3 linked regions of the Arabidopsis thaliana genome follow. The protein of the gene in region 3 interacts with the protein of the main gene of each other region in a pairwise test. Each region holds a gene or a part of one and is shown on either strand. Other genes may lie near its edges. The genes, in order: SAM-2, SAM1 and FER.

Region 1 (7,731 bases), on a different chromosome or scaffold from region 3:
AAATCATGGATCTAAACCAAACCCCAAGTTACAGAATCATGCTCACAGACCGTGGAGGTATTGCATCAGCTCATAGCTCTGCCATCAAAGGTACTTTACCCCGAAAGCTCTATGTGGAATTCTCAAATCATATAAGTCTCTACTAGGCTGGCTAATCTTCTCTTTCACCATTTCCCTAATGAAAATACTAAAGTCTTGGTTTTGATGCGATGAAGGCGTGTGGATGGACACGAACTGGGTGTTCTCGACAGGTCTTGATCAACGTGTTCGATGTTGGTTTCTCGAAAAAGATGGTAAACTGATCGAGCACGCTCATATAGTCATCAGCGTGCCCGAGCCAGAGGCACTAGATGCTAAAGCCATTGATGAGTAAGTAATATGCACTCATACTTCCATGGTCCATAAAACAAAAACAAAACTTTTATATCTCACATACCAAATCTGTATACTTGATCTATCTGCAGAAACCGATACCAAATAGCTGTTGCGGGACGCGGGATCCAAATGGTTGAATTCTCCGGTTAACAAAAGCTTGGTTCAGAACCCTGTTTTTGATTCCAGTTTTTGAGGTAATTTGTCCTAAGCTACCCTCTGGCTCTGCTAGTATTTATTTACAACAGTGAGACCTGTAATTTTTACCAAACCAATTTTGAGTACTCGGTCAGAGTAAACCGTTTTTGATTCTTGGTTCAGTTTGATCTGAGAACTGAGCTTTTGTCGGTGCTCTACTTTTTTTGTTTTTGGCCGAAGTCGGTGCTCTGCTAAATTCTGGTATGTATCATGTTTCTGAACCCAATTTGATAGTAACGTTATTATTGCTCAAGATTTTGGTTATGGAATTGTGCCAATGTGGGACCTTTATGAGAGAAATATCAACACTTCACATGACCTTATTTAATTCTAATCAACTAATTCGGCTGATTAATAGTAATCAACTTCTTTACAGATTTGATATCATTTGATGTGATCATTAAATTTGTGATACATCCGTCAAAGTTCGATTTATATATATAGTAGATCATATACTATTTCATACATATATAATTGTTTATGAGAATTCGATTTCATTCTACGTTTTTGATAAGATTAATATTGTAACTACAGTATTATGTGACTTTCTTACGAGACGAAAGTTTACTGTTGTTTTTTTGTACTTGTCTCTGTTTTGAATCACTTCTAATAATTGAATCAAGATATTGCCCACTTAATAATCAATCATTTACGTGGTCGGTGACCAGATCTATGATTCTCTTTAAGAAATAAAAAAAAAATCATGTTTATTTCAAATGCATGATCAAGAGAAGGAATAACAAAAAACTCTTCGCATATTCTTCAAAAAATTGTTGGCTGATCAATAAAAGTATTCTTAAATTTGTGTGTTTTAGAATTTAGTTTAAGGATACAAAATCTTCACATCTTTTCACTAATTTTATACACCCAAGAAACACTCATTGATGATATTATTTTAAGATTCACTAACGGTCGACTGTATCGTGCTTCCATACTATATGGTCGCTCTTAATTGAGGTGTCGGTTCAATTGTGATGATTATTATATTCTAACACTACCTAATTATACAAATTCTTAATTTTATTTACAAAATATAAGACACTTGAAGATTTGCATATGGAATAGTAGTCGTGAAATTCAACGTTCTTAATTACTTATTTAAAGTTATCGGATCGGAGACGCCATTTCATGAAACTAACAAATGTCGTAAACTCGTAATAGATATTAGATAGTTCAAGACTGGTAAAAAAAAAAAAAAAATGGAAGTTGAACACAGGTCAAAACTTATATGTACGTGTATTTGTTTTGCATGAGTTTCACATGCATACAAATACAATTTTTTCAACTACCTCCTTCTCATCGCAGTTTCCTCACACGACCTAGAATTTTCGACGATTTTTGGGCTTAAACAATTATTCACTAACACTTAAAGTTGACTGGTAAATCAATTCATTAATTATATTATCCACAAAGCAAGTTGTGAGTTATCCATAAAAACAAATGAAGCATTTATCTTCCAACGGCTCAACTTCCATAAAATTCATGTTCGCAAACCACAAAATCTGTGAAGCACTGTTTATCAAGATGCATACTCACTTACATAATTAATTAGTCGGATAGTTGATTATCCAGCGCTAAATCTAAGTAGGAAAATAAATGTGTTTGCAACAATTATAGTACACGATTTAATCAGCAACATAATTTTTTTGATAAATTCTTGATAAAGTCACTTAATCTTTAACTTTAAACCAACTACGGACTTGCATTCAAAAAAAAAAAAAATTGTTATCCAAATGAAATTAAAATTATCATGGAGGAGTATTTGGTATTTTACAAAGTTAAAACGGAGGAAGACTTTGTATATAATCTCAACTTTTGCTCAAACACAAACTGCACTTTATGTAAACCAGTTTTTTTTGAATAATTTTACATAATATTCAAAAAACAAAAAAAAAACAGAGGAAAATATGATTTTTGTTGGAGACTAAAGTCTTATGAAAAAAGCATCAATTCTAAAAGCTTCCTTTAAATCATGATATAAGTAAAAATTAGAAAATGTAATGTCGTCTTCATTTGATTTTTCTTTACAAAAAAAAACAAATTAGTAACGTTTATCATGCCTTTAACAAAAACACATTGTTCTCCTAAAATAAAGAATGGCTAGGTGCATTACCAACCCCACTACAGCAATACACACGAATCAGCCATTAAGCCGAGCCGAATTAGTCTCACGAAACCTGTACCATTTGTTGAGCTACCGGCACCTCCCGGTTTGTTACATTAATTTTTTCTTTTTGTCAGACATACACTAATTAATTCAGAGATTCGCTCGATTACAAACTTTAATGATAAGTTAGTAGTTTAATCATGGTAGGTTAATTATTGTGGTAATATATAGCGTGATACTTATTGATTTTTCCCTAAATATAGTGTGAAAAGAAAATATGATTGAGTGAGGTAGGTTAAATCTATCGAAATAGTTTAATCAGAGATCCAATGGTCATCATTTTTTCCTCAACAACAAACATAATTATTTATAGGAATGTTTGATAATATGTTCACAGTTCACCTACCAAAACTATGTCATGAAAGTTTATGTTCTACCTTTTAATTGGCCTCACCTTATTATACTAGTCTTTTATTTTCTTTCCAATGATCTTATGATTAGTCTCGTATTCATTTTCCTAACTAATTTTATTTTATTTTTGAAAATGAAATAAGTTCTAATCTTAGTTATATGTCCATCATTAGGCAAGAAGATTCTACATATATATATACTTTACCAACTTTATTGTTTCATATAAATATTTTAAGGTTCTACTTTTCTGTATCATTTTAGACAATGTTTTAGAGAAAAAAAATTGTTTCAGTTTAAGTGATGTTTGCAACTTTTAATGCAACATTTTTTTCCAGCATATTTTATAATTGGTTGAAACAATTTAATTTAATTTAAATTTGGTGTTTTCTTAACTTGTATATAAAAACCTTAAATGTCAATTGAAATGATAGAGAGAGACATTACTATATTATTGTGAAAAAGTATCACTATTTCTAAAGAATTGTTCTAGTAAAAATTGGTATTAGTTAATTTTCAGACCATCATAAAAAAGATGATTTAGATTAGTGACAAAGAATAATCCTTCAAAAATACATATTTCGACACAAGTATACTTGGTATCAAAATCTGTAAAAAAAAAATCAGAGCCATGACCAAATACAATATGTTAAGTTCATGTGACGTGAGATAATAAATTGATTTGATTCACTTTCCAATTGTGTTTATAATTAACGCATTAAAAACACTAAAAAGCAAATAAATAAATGTAGCCGAATAAGCCGATGGAAGTAAGAATTGAAGTCCAAAAGCAAAAACCTATAGATCCGGTGGACAGTCAACAGTGTCATTTAATCCCTATAAATAGCTCACTCCCTTGTCATCCACAAATCGTCCCCGTCTCGTTTCCTTCTTCGCTCGCTGTTCAGATTTTGCTTTGAGGCTTTAGGCTCCCCAGATCTCTAATCGCCGCAGGTTTCGCTCTTCTTCTCCGTCTTATTGATTTCGAGTTTTTAGGCGATGCTTTTACGGGTTTTGTTGTTAAATCTGAAACGAAATGAGATTTTTCTATGGGTTTCGATTCAGATTTGATAATATTCGAACCTTCTACGCCTGTTATTATAATTAGATCTGCGATAGTGTGTGACTATTGAAATGAGATTCTCAAGTTCTTAGGTTATATCGTTTGTGATTTATACAGATTTAAAACGTATGTGGATCCGTTAATTTTCCAGTGCTGTGTAGCAGATCTGCTTAATAGGTTTATCTTTTTTGCAAATGATTTTGATTTTCGCATCGATCGTGTACTCTATGTAGTAGTAGTAGTATATGATTTGATAAATGTAGTAGTAGTAGTATATGATCGTGTACTGAGCCATAAATGAGCCTTCCTCGTTAATTATTGTCCATGAATTGTTAGTTAAGCTTGAAAGTTCCTTAAACGTTTAATTAGATCCTTATCACTGACTGTTCCACTATGAATATCAGAAGAATCGAATCTCTTTGGATGAGATGCGTCTGTTTTTATGCTATTCCACAATGATTTGGAATCTTTCTTAGCTTTTTATGTCACTTGAGTGTGGAATCTTTTTTTTTTGTTCTCTTCCTTTCAATTGTAAAAAGTTTGTTATATGTGTATGATTTTTATGTGGTTGCTGATTCAATTTTTCTTTTTGTTGTTATAGCTTTAAGAAATGGAGACTTTCCTATTCACATCTGAGTCTGTGAACGAAGGACACCCTGACAAGCTTTGCGACCAGATCTCTGATGCAGTCCTTGATGCCTGCCTTGAGCAAGACCCTGATAGCAAAGTTGCTTGTGAGACATGCACCAAGACCAACATGGTCATGGTTTTCGGTGAGATCACCACCAAGGCTACGATTGACTACGAGAAGATTGTCCGTGACACTTGCCGTTCCATTGGATTCATCTCTGACGATGTTGGTCTTGATGCTGACAAATGCAAAGTCCTTGTTAACATTGAACAACAGAGCCCAGACATTGCTCAAGGTGTTCACGGTCACTTCACCAAACGTCCAGAAGACATTGGAGCTGGTGACCAAGGACACATGTTTGGTTATGCCACTGATGAAACCCCTGAGCTCATGCCTTTGAGTCATGTCCTTGCAACCAAGATTGGTGCTCGTCTCACTGAAGTCAGGAAGAATGGAACTTGCCGTTGGTTAAGACCAGATGGCAAGACCCAAGTCACTGTTGAGTACTACAATGACAATGGCGCTATGGTTCCAGTCCGTGTCCACACCGTCCTGATCTCAACCCAGCACGATGAAACCGTTACCAATGACGAGATTGCGCGTGACCTCAAGGAGCATGTGATCAAACCAATCATCCCAGAGAAATACCTTGACGACAAAACCATCTTCCACCTCAACCCATCAGGCCGGTTTGTGATCGGGGGACCACACGGTGATGCTGGTTTAACTGGACGTAAGATCATCATTGACACATACGGAGGATGGGGAGCTCATGGAGGTGGTGCTTTCTCAGGCAAAGACCCAACCAAAGTCGACAGAAGTGGAGCTTACATCGTGAGGCAAGCAGCAAAGAGTGTGGTGGCTAATGGCATGGCTCGCAGGGCTCTTGTCCAGGTCTCATACGCCATTGGAGTACCCGAGCCATTGTCTGTCTTCGTTGACACTTACGGAACAGGGTTGATTCCAGACAAGGAGATCCTGAAGATCGTGAAAGAGACATTCGATTTCAGACCAGGAATGATGACAATCAACTTGGACTTGAAGAGAGGAGGAAATGGAAGGTTTCAGAAAACGGCAGCGTATGGACATTTCGGAAGAGACGACCCTGACTTCACCTGGGAGGTCGTGAAGCCACTCAAGTGGGACAAACCTCAAGCTTAAACTTGATTTTATGTTTCTTCTGTCTTTTTACTTTAAACATCTACCATGGACCAATAATCAAATCCCTCTGTTTCTTTTTTCTTGTATTATTGATATGAAAGTTTCTGGTTTGTTTAAACAACTACCATAGACCAATTTTCTCTTTCACTATAAATTGTAGTAGTTGAAATTTGTGTTCTACATTTTGGGACTTCATGCGATAAAGTGTATATCTATCGAATATTGAAAACTATCTCTGTCAGAAATACGAAAATACACGTATTGTCTTTGAGTACAACACGAAACAACAAATCATCCTCAACAAAAAATGACACTGCTAAATATATTTTAAAAACACAGATCATAATCATACATTTGATCAGTTCAAAGGTAGTGGATATATAGAAGTGGAACCCATTTACATTGCCTTTATGAGATTCTTTGTTGTCGGTTCATAAGATACGTCCGAAAACAACAATATTAATTCAAACTTTAAATTATCTTAAGAGATGATCGAAATAACTATAAAAAGTCAATTCCTACATTTTTCTTCTTCTTTCAAAGCTAAAGTATTCAGCTAAAACATTTAAAGAAAACACTAAAAAGTTTCTTCTCAATTCTCATATGTAGTCATTATCCGAGTAGTATCACTCAACAACTCTCAACTTGTTTTGTTTTAATGATAAATTGATATGCAGAAGCAGAATAACCAATACCAATCTGTGTTAAACTGATTATCTGATTCTATAATCAATCTTACCGGTTTAATAATCATTTTAGACTAAAAAAATTTGTGCATGGACTAGGATTGATGACTTAGTCAATCGACCTTTCTACTGAATCAAGAGACAAAAAGCGTCAGCTTTCTACTGACTGATCTCACAAGTGAAAGATTAGTTTGTCCATATCATTTTTAATTTTCTTAATTATATATCTCACCAAACTCAAATGAATGTCTCAGTCTCTTTGTTCATTGTCATCTCATAAAAAAAGATATACATGAAAATATCTCGACATGTTCATTATTTTGAAAGATAAATAAAGAAAATTGTTACGGACTTTGGAGATTACGTGTCTCGGCCCAAAACCTCTTGATATTAAAAAAATAATAAAAAATAAAATAAAATAAAGAAAATTGTTAACAACCTTGCCCGAGCATCTGATTAGCGCTTAGCGAATATCTTTGAACATAATTTTTTTATAGAGAGCAAAAATAAAGCATATACATTTTCATATTATCTCTTATAAACTGAGAGATAATTCTTTGTATGAATCACTGTTGCTACATATATTCAGTTATTTTTCTTTAAAAAGGAATTAAAAAAAGAGAAGATAATTGAATAAGAAGAAAACCTAAAAAAGCAGAGACAGAGAATGTTCTTCTGTCACAAAGGATCCCCCAAAAGATCAGGTAATGTGATTTTTCCTATTTGATTAGGATCAAGTTTCTCGAACTGAATCACAACTTGGTCAATGTCTTTCTGAGTGATCTTCCCCATTTCCTTAAGCTTCAACACTATATACTCTGATTTACTGAAACACACACCAAAACCAAATCAAAACATAAAAAAAAAAGTCAAAACACTAATCACTCAAACTTAAATCATTGAAATTAGATTACACAAAGACATAACTAAACTGTTGCTTGCAAGAAAAAGTCTTAACATTAACATGATTAATCTAAAGCTTAACACTCTCTGCAACTTATTTGACCTAAACTTCACACAAATTGCATAAAACCCTTTATCAGAATCAGCTCAAATCACTCTCATCTCTAAGCAATTAATCCAAGATTCTAAAAAAAAAAACAAA
Region 2 (7,731 bases), on a different chromosome or scaffold from region 3:
AAAAAAGCGTCACTGCTTGCGTCATCAACAAAACACATCACACATGACTGACTTAATTACATGAGAATATTTTTACCACTTTGAAATAAGAACAAATAATTAGTAATTTAAAGTAGTATATCCGTTGTAGTAGTAGTAGTCATGGGGGCCACTTACCTTCTTGCGATTCCCAATTCCCCGCGAGATCTTATTGTGTACGGAAGATGATACCATTTCCATTAACTCTGTTTCATCTTAAAACGCAAAACGTAGCGTTTTACGCACAACTTTTATGTAGTCATGATCCCTATGGACCTTAATCCAATACAAAGCTCTGACTTGGATTTCGATATTTAAAGATAATTGTTTGGGCCTTTGATGGGCCTCATTAATCAGATGTTTTACTTCCCTGATCTGTGGATAAATTTCTTAACCAAACAAAACTCAAAACCCGGAAGATAGATAGAGAAGCAACGTAAAGATCATGAACATCAAAATTCTCAGTCGTCAAAAAACCAAAAAACCTTTTCTTTCAAATTTGATAATCTCTTCAGAAGCTACCAAGAAGAAGAAGAGAAAGAAGAGCGTTTTCTAAATGGAAGAAGAGAACCTTCTCAATGAGAACCTTCTCCATCCCAACGAGTCCTCACCGGAAGAAACTCAAGTCACCACCGTATCAAAATCGAAATGGACCATTCTTGTACTAGCCATGATCCTCCTCTTGGTCTACTTAACCTTCGGGGTTTGCACATACTCATTCTTTCGAGACCAATTCTCCGGAACCGAGACCAATCTTTTCGTCGACGCTTTCTATTTCTCCATCGTCACATTCTCTACAGTCGGTTACGGGGACATTGTCCCGTCAACTTCAACGACCAAGATCTTGACCATCGTCTTGGTATCAACCGGCGTCGTATTTCTTGATTATCTACTCAACCGCGTCGTGAGTCACGTTCTAAGTCTTCAAGAAAACGCGATTCTTGATCGAATCAACAAGACAAGAAACAGAGCGATTAGAGATCACATTGCCGAAGATGGCAAGATAAGGTTAAAGTGGAAACTTTGTTTAGCGTTTTGCGCCGTTGGTCTCTGCGTCGGAAGTGGAGCTTTGTTTCTTCACGTTTTCGAGAGATTGGATTGGTTGGATTCGGTTTACTTGTCGGTTATCTCCGTTACGACGGTTGGTTACGGAGATAAAACGTTTAAGACGGTTGAAGGGAGAGGCTTCGCAGTGTTTTGGCTTCTTCTTTCAACTATTGCAATGGCTACTCTGTTTCTTTACTTGGCTGAGATGAGAATCGATCGTACTACTGTCATGAAATTGCCCCCGAGGTAAACATTTGCAACTCTGTTTCTTTCATTCGAAATTCTGTTTTTGGTTACTGATTGATTTTTCTTGTTGTTGGTTTGTGATTAGTGAATCAGAGTTTATTGTGTTCAAGCTTAGAGAAAGTGGGAGGATTAGTGAGGATGATATAAAGCAGATCGTAAGAGAGTTCGAGAATCTTGAAGAAGTGCCATCAAGCGGATCATGACAATTTGCCAAAGATCACATTGCCCTAACTCTTGTCTGGTACTAGATATGAAATTGCAGAGATGCACATGGTTAGTTTTTCTTTTTGAATTTTAGTATAAAATGTATAGAAGAATCACAAAAATGATGATGACGATGCTACTCTGTTTTGACCTTGGGACTTGAAAAGGAAGAAAATACTCTGTTACTGCAGTCCAAATGTTTTTTTTGTATATGTGTACATCTTTTGGCAGTAGGTTTAACTATTTCATGACACTTTAGTTTATATTAATTTTTCATGGTTATAATTATATAAGAACAACATGAAACTTACTCCAAGCCGTGTAAAAGTCGCCATAAAAACAAACACCCAATTGAAATAGCTCAAGTACAATGATACATAAACACAATAAACCACAAAAACAGAGAAATAAAAAAGTGAGCAGATAATTGGTTTGTGGAATGAAGACAGAAACAGAGTAGGTAAAATTTAAGCTTGAGGTTTGTCCCACTTGAGTGGCTTGACGACTTCCCAGGTGAAGTCAGGGTCGTCTCTTCCAAAGTGTCCGTAAGCCGCAGTTTTCAAGAACCTTCCGTTTCCTCCTCTCTTTAGGTCAAGGTTAATTGTCATCATTCCTGGTCTGAAGTCGAAGCTCTCCTTCACAATCTTTAGTATCTCCTTGTCTGGAATCAATCCAGTCTCATAAGTGTCCACAAAGACAGACAATGGCTCAGGGACTCCAATGGCGTATGAGACCTGAACAAGAGCCCTACGAGCCATCCCGTTAGCCACAACGCTCTTAGCTGCTTGTCTCACAATGTAGGCTCCGCTTCTGTCGACCTTGGTTGGGTCTTTACCTGAGAATGCACCGCCTCCGTGAGCTCCCCATCCACCGTAAGTGTCGATGATGATCTTACGCCCGGTGAGACCAGCGTCTCCATGGGGTCCACCGATGACGAATCGGCCTGAAGGGTTCAAGTGGAAGATGGTTTTCTCGTCTAGGTACTTCTCTGGGATGACTGGCTTGATGACATGCTCCTTAAGGTCACGGGCAATTTCGTCGTTGGTCACAGTTTCATCGTGTTGGGTGGAGATGAGGACTGTGTGGACACGGATTGGGACCATGGCACCCTTGTCATTGTAGTACTCAACAGTGACTTGGGTTTTGCCGTCAGGTCTTAGCCAGGCGCAAGTACCATTCTTTCTGACTTCTGTTAGGCGAGCACCGAGCTTGGTGGCAAGAACATGGCTCAGGGGCATTAACTCAGGGGTTTCATCAGTGGCATAACCAAACATGTGCCCTTGGTCACCGGCTCCAATTTCTTCAGGACATTTGGTGAAGTGACCGTGAACTCCTTGAGCAATGTCTGGGCTCTGTTGCTCAATGTTGACTAGGACTTTGCATTTGTCAGCATCAAGACCAACATCATCAGAGACAAATCCAATGGCGCGACAGGTGTCACGGACAATCTTCTCGTAGTCAACAGTAGCCTTGGTAGTGATCTCACCAAAGACCATGACCATGTTGGTCTTGGTGCATGTCTCACAAGCAACTTTGCTGTCAGGGTCTTGTTCAAGGCAGGCATCGAGGACTGCATCAGAGATCTGGTCACAGAGCTTGTCTGGGTGTCCCTCGTTTACAGACTCAGATGTGAATAGAAAAGTCTCCATTCTGCTACAAAGAATAGAACAAAAAAAAAATGACTTAGCCACTGTAGAATCATAAAAGAAGCATCATGCTATCTTAAAAGAATAGTTTCACCATATCCTGTAAGCTTTTCTTAGATTCTCAATTCTAAAGAATGTGACATAAACCAAACAAAGAATCGAATTTCAGAAGAATCATTAAGCTCAAGTGACAAAAAAGCTAAAATGATTCGAAAATCATAAGTGATATCTTTTCAGCAAAACAAGTTGACTCTTATGCTTAGTGACTCGCTTCGTATGTTACTTATTGTCTATGCACATTTAACTAACAGGTTAAATCATATCAAGCTACAATCACACATACACACATGAACGAATTCAAAATCTCAAAAATCTTGCATACTATTCAAATCATGCCAACGCAACATAAACTCTACTCAAATCCCACACATCTGAGAATATTTTTGAGAATCTATAACGAAATCGCTGCTGATCCAATAACAAAATGGTTAAAGAGTAGCTGAAATCTAATTAAAAACCATAGATACAGTCAATAGTCCCTTAAATCTACTTCCATCGTCAAATCGGAAAAAATACGCACGTCAGACTTGAAAATCAACTGGAAAACAAAAATGAACAATACATCGAGAGAGAAACGAGAAGCGAATACGAAGAACAATACCTGCTTCGATGGGAGATTATGAGATTCGGCGATCAGATCTCGAAGAAGAGAAACTCAGATCTCTGTGGCTCGAGCCTTTTTGCCTTAAAAGAACAAGTGTTAAAAGAGAAGGAACGGTTTGAGACGAGAAAGTGAGTCAGAACACGTTGGTTATTTATAGGCCTTTTACGGTTCACTAATGACTGGTCACCGGTTTATTTGGTTAAACCACCCTACTTTGGACTTGTAAAGAAATATATATGTATTTGGCTTTGGAGTTGGCCTACCAATATTTACTATTTTTTGGCATTATTTTCAAAATTTTCTGACTATTGGGGACCGATTGGTCCGACTTGTTATATAACGTGAACCAATCGGATTTTTCATTTCAAAGAAAATAATTGTGTCTGTAAGACTGTAATTTAGGAAAAAAGGACTATAAAAATTCAAATAAATACCATATGAAATTGTTGGACCGGGTTACACATCAAAAATTATATCAAACAATAGTCTTTTTTAGTTTCGTTTGGTTTGATACAAGTGAGATAAGGAAAACGTTTTCAATGCAACTAAGAAACAAAGAATAGAATAGTTTAATTACTACAAAGGCATTACTCATTACTCACTCGCACACATGAAAATACACACTTTCATGCTCTGCAAGAGGTTTGTGGTAGGTGAAGATTTTAGACTTTTAATTGTGGTTGTTGGTGATGACCAAACAAAAAAAATTGTGGGTATTGGTGAGACTTAATGGTGACCGTTGGATTATTTTGTTTAACGGCTGATTAATGAATGATATAGAGCTTTGGGGGGTTTGGTGAAGGATTTTGACATACATCATTTGATCTACCGTATCTTAACTTTATTCTTTAAAATGGATTAAAATCTCTAAACATCCTTAATATTCTTCATTTTATTATTTGTGTGTGTGTGTGTAATTCTTCATAATTTTATATATGACTAGAGTTACCATTTGTCATCAATACTTTATTGTTTTACTTTTACATGAAACAGATATATAAAAGCTGTTAATGAAACAAACAATATAAGATCCTTCAAAAACAAAAGAAACAAAAAGTGCAAACATCTTAGAAGGTGTTTGTAGCCACTCCTCTTTTGGTAGTGGGTGACTGGGTGGCGAGGTGGGTAGTGTATTTCTAACTCGCTCATAATATATCTTCATAAGTTACGCAGTAAGTAAATTTTTTATTTATTTACTTTTTGTGATTTCTAATGAAAAGTAAAGCTGATTAGTGATTGAGAAAAAAGAGTTTTCTTTGTTAAGTTTATAAAGAAAATTCGATGGTGTGCAAAACCCATGCGCAATTGCTCATCCTCATTGACTATTGTTGTCGGATATTTTTGTAAGTAAATAAACTTGTGTTTCTAAAAGTCAATTTTTCCATAAAGGATTATCTTTCAAAAAGTCTGTCTCAGAAATAAAATGATACATAGCCAATAAGGCCCATTTCAGCCAAGTGGCCCAATACATTAAAAAGAACCATTTTCTAATCAGTTAAAAATAGCCCATTAAGATTCCATCACTACCACCTTCCCTCAGAGCCATGGAGTTGTAGATTATGTAGTGGTCAGAATCAAGATTGAGGATGAATGACATGATTGCTCTGGCCCTAACCAAAGCAATTGATTGCTCCAACATTCTCATAACCAGGCCGCTTCTATCTCCCACACGCAGACTAGGATTGGTTGCCTGATGTCAATGTCTGTTAGATCATCAATTACTGCTGCCTCTGTTCCAGTTAACATCATCATCTCCATTTATAAACAGCTTGGTTCAGAACCATCATCTTCATCTCTTCTTTCGTTCTCCACAAACATATGACTGATTTGTTTGTAACAGAGAGGTGTATAATAAATAGATCGTCCCGGTCCCGCATAATCTTACAAACTTACCGTTTAGAATTGATTATCACCGTCCGATATCTCACAGTTGCAACCTGATGAAACTAAACGGTCCAGATCTCTCGAACGTTGTCAGATTTTCTTATTTTTTGTCAACCCTAACAAGAAAAGGAAACAATCGAAAGTTTCCTTTTTTTTTTTGAAGAAGCGAATGCTTATAAATGAAGACCTCCAAACATCACTCATTCTCTCTTCTTCCTTGAGAAATTTAAATCCATTATCATTCTCTCTTCTTCTTCGATACCATAACAAAATAATTCTTCATCTTTCATTATCTCGTTTTGTCTAAACAGAACGATCGTTTTAGACCGGATGCTCTCGTCTTCTCAGCAAACAAACAATCATCGTAGGATTGATCTCCATCCTCTGTTGTGACTCATCTTCACTTAAATCCAAACGATTTCAAATCCGGTCAACGACGGACAACCGAAAAAATAATTGAATTTTTGGCCACACTTAGTTGAAGTGTTAAATATTTACCACTTGTTTTTTTTAAAACCAAAATGTCAAACCGAACTGAACATCTCGTCCTTTTGGTCTGTAGTTTTGTAGTGATATCATAAAGTTTTGACATATATTAGATTAAAAACTTGGCTAAATTTTATTTTATTTTCACAAATATTATTTTAAGGATTCGAATTGCGCATTGACACGTTCTTGGTCACTTATTTGTTTCAAAGAATTTGATGATATTATCAACCTTAATAATATTCTGTAAATCTGTTATTCTTAACTTAGTCACTTCGTAAAAGTCTACTGCATTATCATTTCATAATTTAGTTGTTGTGGCAGATCTTTCGTTCATACGGGCCAAACGCGCTCGGTAGAACACACTAAATGGACACATATTTAAAAGAGAATAAAGATCCAATGGGCTTTGAATAAAACATAAACAATATTAAAAAAATGCGGTGAGCGTGGATCGAACACGCGACCTTCAGATCTTCAGTCTGACGCTCTCCCAACTGAGCTATCCCCGCTTTTGCTTTGGTTTCATTAATCACTTTATTCAAACCCTAAATTCATGATTATCTTCTAATTTTATACGGACAAATCAGTAACACTCAGCAATTTGAGTTCTTGTGGTTGCTAAAGTTTTTAGTCTTATCTTTCCTTCCAAAGACAAAACTAAGGAAGCTTCAATGTCTGTAGTAGCAATTAACATGAACACGATCAATCACTTGTCCAAAACCTGTAAAACCCCAAATATCCAATCACCGATTTGCTTCGATCGCAAACCCTTTTCATATTCTCTCATTCCTCTGTTTCCAAAAACCCTAAATGGCTTCTCCTCTTACTCTTCTTCCGTTAGTCGCAGATCGAGATTCATCATTCCCAAGAGACGACGATTCTCTGTTTCCATGGAGTGGCAAGACTGCTCGTAAAAATCTCTCCTTTATCCTCTTCTCTGCTTCGATTCCACTTTATTTGTAGAAATTGATATGATTCTGTTTTCAATCTTTGTTGGTTTGGAGAAAACAGAGTAAAGATGGAGGTCGATGTTCCAGTATCAGTAGCGTATAATTTCTACTTGGATCGTGAATCTTTTCCTAAATGGATGCCTTTTATTTCATCTGTCCAGGTGGATTTGATTTTTTGATCTATCTCTCAAAGTTTCAATCTTTGAAAGCTTCTTGCTTTAGATTTTAACTCGGTTTGTGTTCTGTTGTTAGGTGTTAAAGGACAAGCCTGATCTATCACGTTGGTCACTCAAATACAATGCTTTTGGTCAAGACATTAAGTATTCTTGGCTTGCTCGTAATCTTCAGGCAAGAATCCATCATTCTGTTTTAGATCAATGCTCCTCTGTGGTACTTAGACTAATTGTGTAAAACTGTTGGCTTTTTGTTGGGTTGTTTATTGTGCAGCCTACTCCTAATCAGAAAATCCATTGGAGATCTCTTGAAGGTCTTCCTAATAAGTAAGCAAGAGATCATAAAGGTTCAATCTTACTCTAATGTATTATCTGTTTGAGCCTAACATTTGGTACTTAACCAATGCAGA
Region 3 (7,731 bases):
AGTGTCACTTCAAATGCAGGACTTGGCACGAAATGGTAAAGTTAGTACACATACGTTTTCAAGCCCAATGTTGTATCCACACAGCATCAGATCTTCTTCTTCGGGTCTAAGAAAACCGTGTGGTAGTAGTGAAGGCAGCTGCAGCAGCAGCAACCATGAAGAGGAAGATGGAAGAAGCTTAACGAAAGAAGGGAACAACACAGAGAACAAGAACGATAGTGCTCGTTACGACGCACTCTTGAATGTTAAAGATGTCAAGGATACAAACTGGCTACTTAACATTGATGATGAATCTCCTCAATCTCTCATCTTCGACAATGCTTTTGACTCTCCTCCTGATCTATTCTCTCCTCTCTGAGACTCTGACTCCTTTTGAGTTTTCTTTCCTGTTTGTTGTAGTTAAAAACAAGAGAGCTGCTTGGAAAAATAATCCTGTTTCACTCTTTTTAAATTCTTATGCAATCAAGAGAAAAACATTACACATAGTTCTTCTACTCGTTGTTTTTTTCTTTCAAAGTGTTTGTTTGTATTGATCAGCAGAAATATACAACTTTGACCCTTCTTGTTTAAATCAAAATATTTGCAAGAAAAGACACTATTGGTAGGATTCCGTTAAAATGCGTCTATATAGTAAAACAGAGAAGTGATTGATGTACTTCCGTTTATGTTCATAAGAGTACGACTTTGTAATAAATGGGTACTAGTTTGTTCATAAGAGTACGACGTGTAATAGAGTAAAGATGCAACAATTACCAAAAACGTTATAGATAACAAACCAAATAGTACATTGACGCGATTCATGTTTAATGTTTTTGTAGAAAGAAGAAAAAAAAATACATTATTTTTTACACTCTCCATCGTGGCATCAAATACACAAATCCAAAATTCTAAATAAATAACAGCAAAGAGAATAATAATAAATAGTTAAGAGGAAAAAAAATATAAAAAAGAGAAACGAACCGGTCTCCTTTGGATGGAGCCGGTTTAGAAAGGTAGTAGTGTTGTACCGTGTTATAAGACTTCTCTAACGTCCCTTTGGATTCATGATCTGAGAAAACACAGCACTTGGAGTGAGTCCATCTGAATCTTCGCTGGCCAAACTCCTACCACCGATGCTCATATCTATTCCACTGCTCCTCGAGTCCGTCACATTCCCTTCATACACATCAGAACTCTTGTCGTTCTTTCCTTTACAGTTTCCATCATCGTACTTAATCTCATCCATGTCCATGTCACCGCATACTCCTTTTCCGTTCTCTTCTGCGCTTTCCTGGAGCTGCAACGCAAATTCTAAGTTCCACAGAACATCTCCCATTGATGGTCTCTCAATGCCCTGGTCTAGAACACACTTCATCGCGGTTTCAGCAAACTTTTTGAAGCATTCTGGTGTGATCTTGCCCTTGAGGTAGGGATCAACGATTTGATCTAGCATGCCTTTCTTGTAGCAGTATGGTGCCCACTCAGCTAAGCTCACTTGTTCCTTTGCAAGTGTTGGGTTCAAGGCTGGACGAGCGCATAGAGCTTCGAATAGAACAACGCCAAAGGAGTAGACATCGGATTTCTCAGTCAGTTGCTGCCGTCTGAAATACTCTGGGTCAAGATAACCGAAACTTCCTTTCACAACTGTGCTTACGTGTGTGTGGTCTAGTGTAGGACCAGTCTTCGATAGACCAAAATCAGAGACCTTGGCCACCCATTTCTCATCCAATAGAATGTTTGTTGTCTTCACATCTCTATGGATGATTGTGTGTTTTGCACCAGTGTGTAGATAGTGTAAACCTCGGGCTGCTCCAATGCATATCTCAAGACGTTGCTTCCATGGAAGAGAAGGATTCTGGGTTTTGTAGAGATGCTCCCTCATTGTACCATGAGCCATGTAATCATAGACTAAGATCATTTCGCAGTTCTCTTCACAGTATCCAATCAAGGACACAAGATGACGATGTCTAAGCTTTGAAAGCATTTCAATCTCAGTCTGGAACTCATGTACACCTTGCTCGGACATTGGGTTGCCTCTCTTGATGGCTACCTTTGTAGTTCCGCCATCAATCTCTCCTCTGTAAACCTTGCCGAAACCACCAACACCAAGCACCCGGGACTCATCAAAGTTTTTAGTGGCAGCTTTGATCTCAGCAAACGAGAAGTGACGGCAAAGATTTGACGGAAGGGACGAGGCATAACTTCCTGTTGTGTTTGTCTTCGCCGAGCCAGCAGAATGTGAGTTTCCATACAGAGATAGTGGAAGCCACCCTGATGTTGCATCACTAGCAGGCTGGTAATCACCACGCTTACGTCTGCGGTAAGCACCAAACACACAAAACCCAATGATAAGGGCCAGAACAACTGCACCACTGGCTGCGCCTGCAATAATAGCCGTATTGCTTTTCGATTTCCTAGTAGTCGGGCGTAGGACTTTAGATGGATCAGCAGTCACCTGTGGACCAGGTATAGGATTGGTACCAGCCAGATTACCATCAGAAGTATTCATCTTGAATATCTCCACTCCATTAAGAAGAGAATCATAATACTCCGGCTTGTTAACTGGGTTAGGATGAAGAGCAAGCCACAAATCTTGCTGTCCATTTCCCTCTGGAGGATTCACCACGTAATCCTTGTGAAACGGAACCCCGTTTGAACTAGTCCAAGCAATCACATCAGCTTCAGGCTCAGCAGTTTGATTGTTGAGGTAGATTGTAAACACCCGTTGGTTGATCTTAGTGATATTCGAAGAAACCTCACAGAAATGAAGTCTAACAAGGTAAGTGAAACCAGAGTCAATGCTGAAAATCCAAGTAAGATTGTAGTTGAGATTGATCTGAGCTGTTGGACCCATAGACCTCGCGGTTGAATAAACATCCACAGGAGCAACATAAGTAGGAGTCCCCGTAGGATACTTAATCGTCATGTTGGGATCAGCAGTCTCTGGAATACCAAGTCCTGCACCAAATATATAAGGCTGATCATCATACCACGACCTATACAAACCCGTATCCGCGGAAGGCGAGATATCATTCCCTCCAACATTGAGCCTATACACATTCTCAAGAGCAGTACTGTTATCAATAGTAACAGAGCCAGATGATCCAACCATAGTCAAAGTCCCATCAGTACTACTATACATATCAGGCATTGAAGTAACCTCAATCCCATTAACAAACGCATACGCATTAGACGGAGCTGATTCCGGTGTAAACGTCATGTTCAACGTTCCACCTTCAACGTTGACAACAAACTCCTTGATGATGAAAGCGTAAGTCAACGCCTCCGCCGTCTGAGAAGCACTGAAATTCTTGAGAAGAGTGTAAGGACCAAAGGAGACGGAGAATAACGAGTTGGTAGCGTTGAGACCGTCGTACGAGTTTGGGTAGAAGTAGAGACGCACGAATTTACGACCTGATGCTACAGGGAAAGTGTAAGTGAAAGGAGATCGGAAAACTCTCGCCGTCATGTAAGGAACTTCGGGAACGGAAGGATCTTGTGTTAACGCTGGTGATGTTTTAGAGTCTTCAGAGGAAGATGATAAGAATTTTGATTTGACATCGGAGATCCATATACGGTTATCTGTGTCGGTTAGATTAGAAGCACCACCACCGCAATTCAATAGGATTTTCTCTGTTGGAGAGTAATCAGCAGCTGAGATTAAAGTTGCTGCAGATATGAGAAGAAGAAGAAGAAGAAGAGAGAGACGGAATCGTCCCTCTGTGATCTTCATCGATCAAGAGCACTTCTCCGGGAAGATCTTCTTCTCAGATCTATCAAACGAAAGAAAATCGAAACTATAAACTTCACAGATCTAAAAATGGAAAGTGCTAGAGGTACATGTTCGTTTGGTTACGAAAATTGAGCTTAAGAAACAGATGAAATTGAAGTTTGAATACAGTAGTAAGGGAGAGTGAAGTGAGGAAGATGATGATGATGATTACATACCTGAAGAATCGGGGAAGAAACCCTAAGCGATGAAATCGGAGAGAGTTTTTGGAGAAGACAGAGATATTTTGGGGGAGAGAGAGAGAAAATCAATTAATGAGTGGAGAGGTAAGTATAGTCAAGACGACGACAAAACGGACAAGCATTGTTGCTTCCCTCTACGCGTTAACGTTATTTTAATTTCAATAAGATTAAATTAAGATATAGTTATCGGGTTTAATTAATTGAAGCCGGCTTGAAGGTGGGTGAAGTGACGATAATGACCTTTGAGTATCAACAGCTGGAATTATATATGTCTTGACCATTCGAAGGATAATGTTGATTGGTATGGTTTGGATGACAGTTCATAAAATGTGAGAGAGTAAATCCATTAAACTAAAGAAAAGACAAGAGAATTTTATGAAACGCGTATTTTTGTGTGCGGTGGTGACTGCTCGTGGCTGAGCTGGTACTCTATATTATACTATAAAGGGAAAGAATGGGGCCTGCTTTGATAATAACTCGTTAGTTAGTTAGGATAGTTTACGTAATCATGGGCTTTTTACTCTGATTTCAGTTTATCTCCTATGGCCCAGTTATAAGTGGGCCTTATCTAACGTGCACATGATATATGTTTATGACAATCGGCGTAGCCTCCTTTTGATCGATCATGTCTAAGGTAAGGAGTAACCTTGATCTCCGATGTCAAATCCAAGTAACCTTGAATACAAATAAACCGTGGTTAAGGCCGAACGTGTGCAATTTTTTTGGTCTACACCTTCTTGATTCAAAACAGAGTTTGTGATCCTTGTTTTCTCAGTCTTTCAAAATAAAATAAAACTTTAAACCATTACATCAAACATGCACTAAATATTTACATTAACATATCATTAATTCTCTTTCAGACAACACATTTTTTTTTGTTTATGCCAATTTTAAATAATAAAAATTACATTTCAAACATACATGTTTCTGCTACTTCGCATTTGGGCACGCATGAGACGAGTCACATACATACACTCTTCCCAGTTCCCACTCTTAACTTTTCTTCACTCTAGGCAAACACAACCACCAAACCTACCAACTCGCTTAAATCGAAGCTTACCAATCACACTTGAAAGCTTCGGAGAATGATTCTTACTTAAACTCATATCCTTACTTGCATTTGTTACACTCAGACTCGCCGCACCAGTTGCAGCTGTTATAACACAAACATCACATTCTGTCACCATGCAATTACCGCCTAAGACCTTGTTTCTTCCATTTACTGCTTGGAATTCAAATTCAACGTGATCAGCCATTATATTTGGTTTGTTTCCCTCACCACCACCTCGATGCATTTCGGCATCCTCATAAAACACAAACATGTGATCCCTTTGAACCTCAGGAGCTTCTCTCGGAGCCCAACACCTAAACACTTTCTCTGCTTTACCAGTGACCACCCTTTTCTTTGTCTTCCATCTGCTTACGCACCTAACGCCAAGCCCAGCGTTGTTGTGACTATCATCCGAAAACGATACTACAACGAAGATAGCAAACCCCAAGAGTGTCTTTCGCAGGGAAGGAGTTATCTCTATCGTTGCAAATGAACCTGCCCGCAAATTATAAGAGGTTGCCTGATCTGCTCCTGCAGGCCCGCAAATGCTGAATGCAAGTGCTTTGATGAGTTCCTGGTCCCAACAAGAAAAAGGAAAATTACATATACGCTAAAGTATGTATGAGTGAGAAAGAAGGGACATGAGAACGAGAGAGTTACCTGCTGATGTTCGTTGCCAATGCTTGCTACTTTAGCCAGGCCTTTTACAACTCGTTTTCTAGCCACTTTTGGAGACTTATTGAAGCAATCGCTGAAGGTGTAATGACTAGGAAACTGCTCAAATCCCCAAGAAACTGACTCTAGAGACACACAACCATGCACGTTCAACAGTTTCAGGCTTTGGGGAAGCGCCGGAAGCAATATGAGGTTTCTACAATGTCTTAATCTAAGGCTATGTAGTTTAGATAACTGCTTTATGCTTTCAGGGATTTTGCTGAAACCATTCCGACCAAGATCCAACAGCACTACTGAAGGCAAGGAACAAATCTCTTCCGGTATATGCATCAAGGATGCATTGAAGAGGGATAAAGATACTAGGGCATAAAATCTTGGGACCAAGCCATGTAAACTTGAAGATGGCAGCCTTGGTCGAGGCAAATATTCTCTACGCTGCTCTGCATTCTCATTGAAAGTCAAGAGAAGATAATTCAAATTACTGATGCCAATTTCTGATATACCATTCTGGATAATTGATGTTGATACTTCTCTTATGGACATCCCAGATGGATCCGTTAGCTTAAGTGTGACAAGAGATTTTAAGTTACTAATCTCCATTGGAAGATGTTGAAGCCTTTTGCAATTCTGTAAATCTAAAACTACAAGTTCTGAGAGATGCTTGATTAACGATGTCACTTCCTGTATAGCGGTGCCAGCAAGATATAACTCTTCCAAGTTTCTTGGGATACCTTGAATATCCTCAAGTTCTGAGCATCCAGAGAGATTTAACACCGCAAGAGAACTCAAGTTACCTATTCCCATTGGTAACTTGTGAAGGCGTTTGCAGTTCTCCAAATCTAATACAACCAGTTCAGAAAGATGCATGAGCGAAGGCAGTTCTTTTATGGCTGTACCACCAAGATATAACTTTCTTAGGTTTTTTGGTATACCCTGAATATCCTCAAGCTCTAAGCATTGAGAAAGATCAAGAACTTTGAGGTTGTCTAGATAAACCATGATTGACAGACTTTGCGAATCAGACGAGACCTCCCGATTCAAGAATTTGTGATCTTTATGATCATAAATAAATGAGTTATCTTGTGGAGAGAAGGTCACAGTTGGTATTGATCTTATGCCAGTTTGTTTGAGATACAGCTCCTCAATATTAGGTGGAACCTCTGGGAAACTTTTGATCTTTATGCAACCAGAGAGATTTATCACCCGAAGATGCTGGAAATGACCTGTTGCTAGAAATCTTTGTAGTCTTGCACAACCTTGGAGATCAATTACCTCCATATTTAGAGCAATTTGGAGTTCTTGAATACCAACTAGCTGTTGTGAATGACAAAGCATGATCCTCTTCAGCATCCCAAGTTCCTGGAAAAACAAATTGTTAAAAAAATAACAACAGAGACGCAAAATAGTAATTGGTTTTCAAATGCATATAGACTTTCTTACCTTGGTTCCTTCCCAAAGTCTCTGAAGTTTACTGTAACACATGTTGAGTATAACAAGATTTCTAGTGTTAAAATCTTGTGGTAAGGATAACAATGGAAAATGTTCCCAGTGCAGTAACCTTAACTCCTCCGGTAGGGATTTGACGCCCTTGGGAAGGTGTAGAGCATAATGGTTTCCAGGATTGGAACTGCAAATCTTCAGATATCTAAGATTATACATATTCTCAAACGCCATAGGATTGACATCAAAGCTTAAGGCAGATGGGTCCAGAAATATGGCTTCAATATCTTCACTACCCTGAAACAACAAGGGAAATAGATGGATCAAGAACTTGGCTCAAATTCCAATATTGAGCTTTGTGGGAAAATAACAGAATTCAACATACCAAAACTTGTCTATCTTCTAGAAAATACTTAATTATCAAAGGTTTCCACAGTCTGGAACGCCTCTTTCCTCCATTGATAATTTTGCGACCTATGGATTGGATCAAATTATGCATCACAACCCTGCCTTCTGCCATACTCACCAAACACTTCTCAACAAGAACATTGATTTCAACACGTGGAAAGAAACCACATCCCTCAAGCAGATGTATTACACAGTCGACATTTTCT

The links.
Region 1: the proteins of FER (region 3) and SAM-2 interact in a two-hybrid assay, tested with the Arabidopsis thaliana proteins (one study listed by BioGRID).
Region 2: the proteins of FER (region 3) and SAM1 interact in a two-hybrid assay, tested with the Arabidopsis thaliana proteins (one study listed by BioGRID).

Annotation. Positions count from the first base shown.
Region 1 is NC_003075.7:794,507-802,237, reverse strand, and holds SAM-2 (S-adenosylmethionine synthetase 2), read left to right. Parts: upstream 1-3,856; 5' UTR 3,857-4,039; intron 4,040-4,749; 5' UTR 4,750-4,758; coding exon 4,759-5,940; 3' UTR 5,941-6,252; downstream 6,253-7,731. Other genes in the region: AT4G01860 (Transducin family protein / WD-40 repeat family protein), read left to right, coding at 1-90, 216-369, 465-525; KCO5 (Ca2+ activated outward rectifying K+ channel 5), read right to left, coding at 7,305-7,452. UniProt on the Arabidopsis thaliana protein: Catalyzes the formation of S-adenosylmethionine from methionine and ATP. The reaction comprises two steps that are both catalyzed by the same enzyme: formation of S-adenosylmethionine (AdoMet) and triphosphate, and subsequent hydrolysis of the triphosphate.
Region 2 is NC_003070.9:514,470-522,200, reverse strand, and holds SAM1 (S-adenosylmethionine synthetase 1), read right to left. Parts: upstream 4,111-7,731; 5' UTR 3,823-4,110; intron 3,169-3,822; exon of another isoform or gene 3,166-3,168; 5' UTR 3,165-3,165; coding exon 1,983-3,164; 3' UTR 1,706-1,982; downstream 1-1,705. Other genes in the region: TPK4 (Outward rectifying potassium channel protein), read left to right, coding at 575-1,311, 1,397-1,514; AT1G02490 (uncharacterized protein), read right to left, coding at 5,467-5,583; AT1G02475 (Polyketide cyclase/dehydrase and lipid transport superfamily protein), read left to right, coding at 6,870-7,108, 7,210-7,309, 7,401-7,496, 7,596-7,648, 7,731-7,731. UniProt on the Arabidopsis thaliana protein: Catalyzes the formation of S-adenosylmethionine from methionine and ATP. The reaction comprises two steps that are both catalyzed by the same enzyme: formation of S-adenosylmethionine (AdoMet) and triphosphate, and subsequent hydrolysis of the triphosphate.
Region 3 is NC_003074.8:19,116,853-19,124,583, forward strand, and holds FER (Malectin/receptor-like protein kinase family protein), read right to left. Parts: upstream 4,098-7,731; 5' UTR 3,928-4,097; intron 3,753-3,927; 5' UTR 3,713-3,752; coding exon 1,025-3,712; 3' UTR 732-1,024; downstream 1-731. Other genes in the region: AT3G51540 (mucin-5AC-like protein), read left to right, coding at 20-358; AT3G51560 (Disease resistance protein (TIR-NBS-LRR class) family), read right to left, coding at 4,956-5,576, 5,663-7,036, 7,118-7,414, 7,503-7,731. UniProt on the Arabidopsis thaliana protein: Receptor-like protein kinase that mediates the female control of male gamete delivery during fertilization, including growth cessation of compatible pollen tubes ensuring a reproductive isolation barriers, by regulating MLO7 subcellular polarization upon pollen tube perception in the female gametophyte synergids.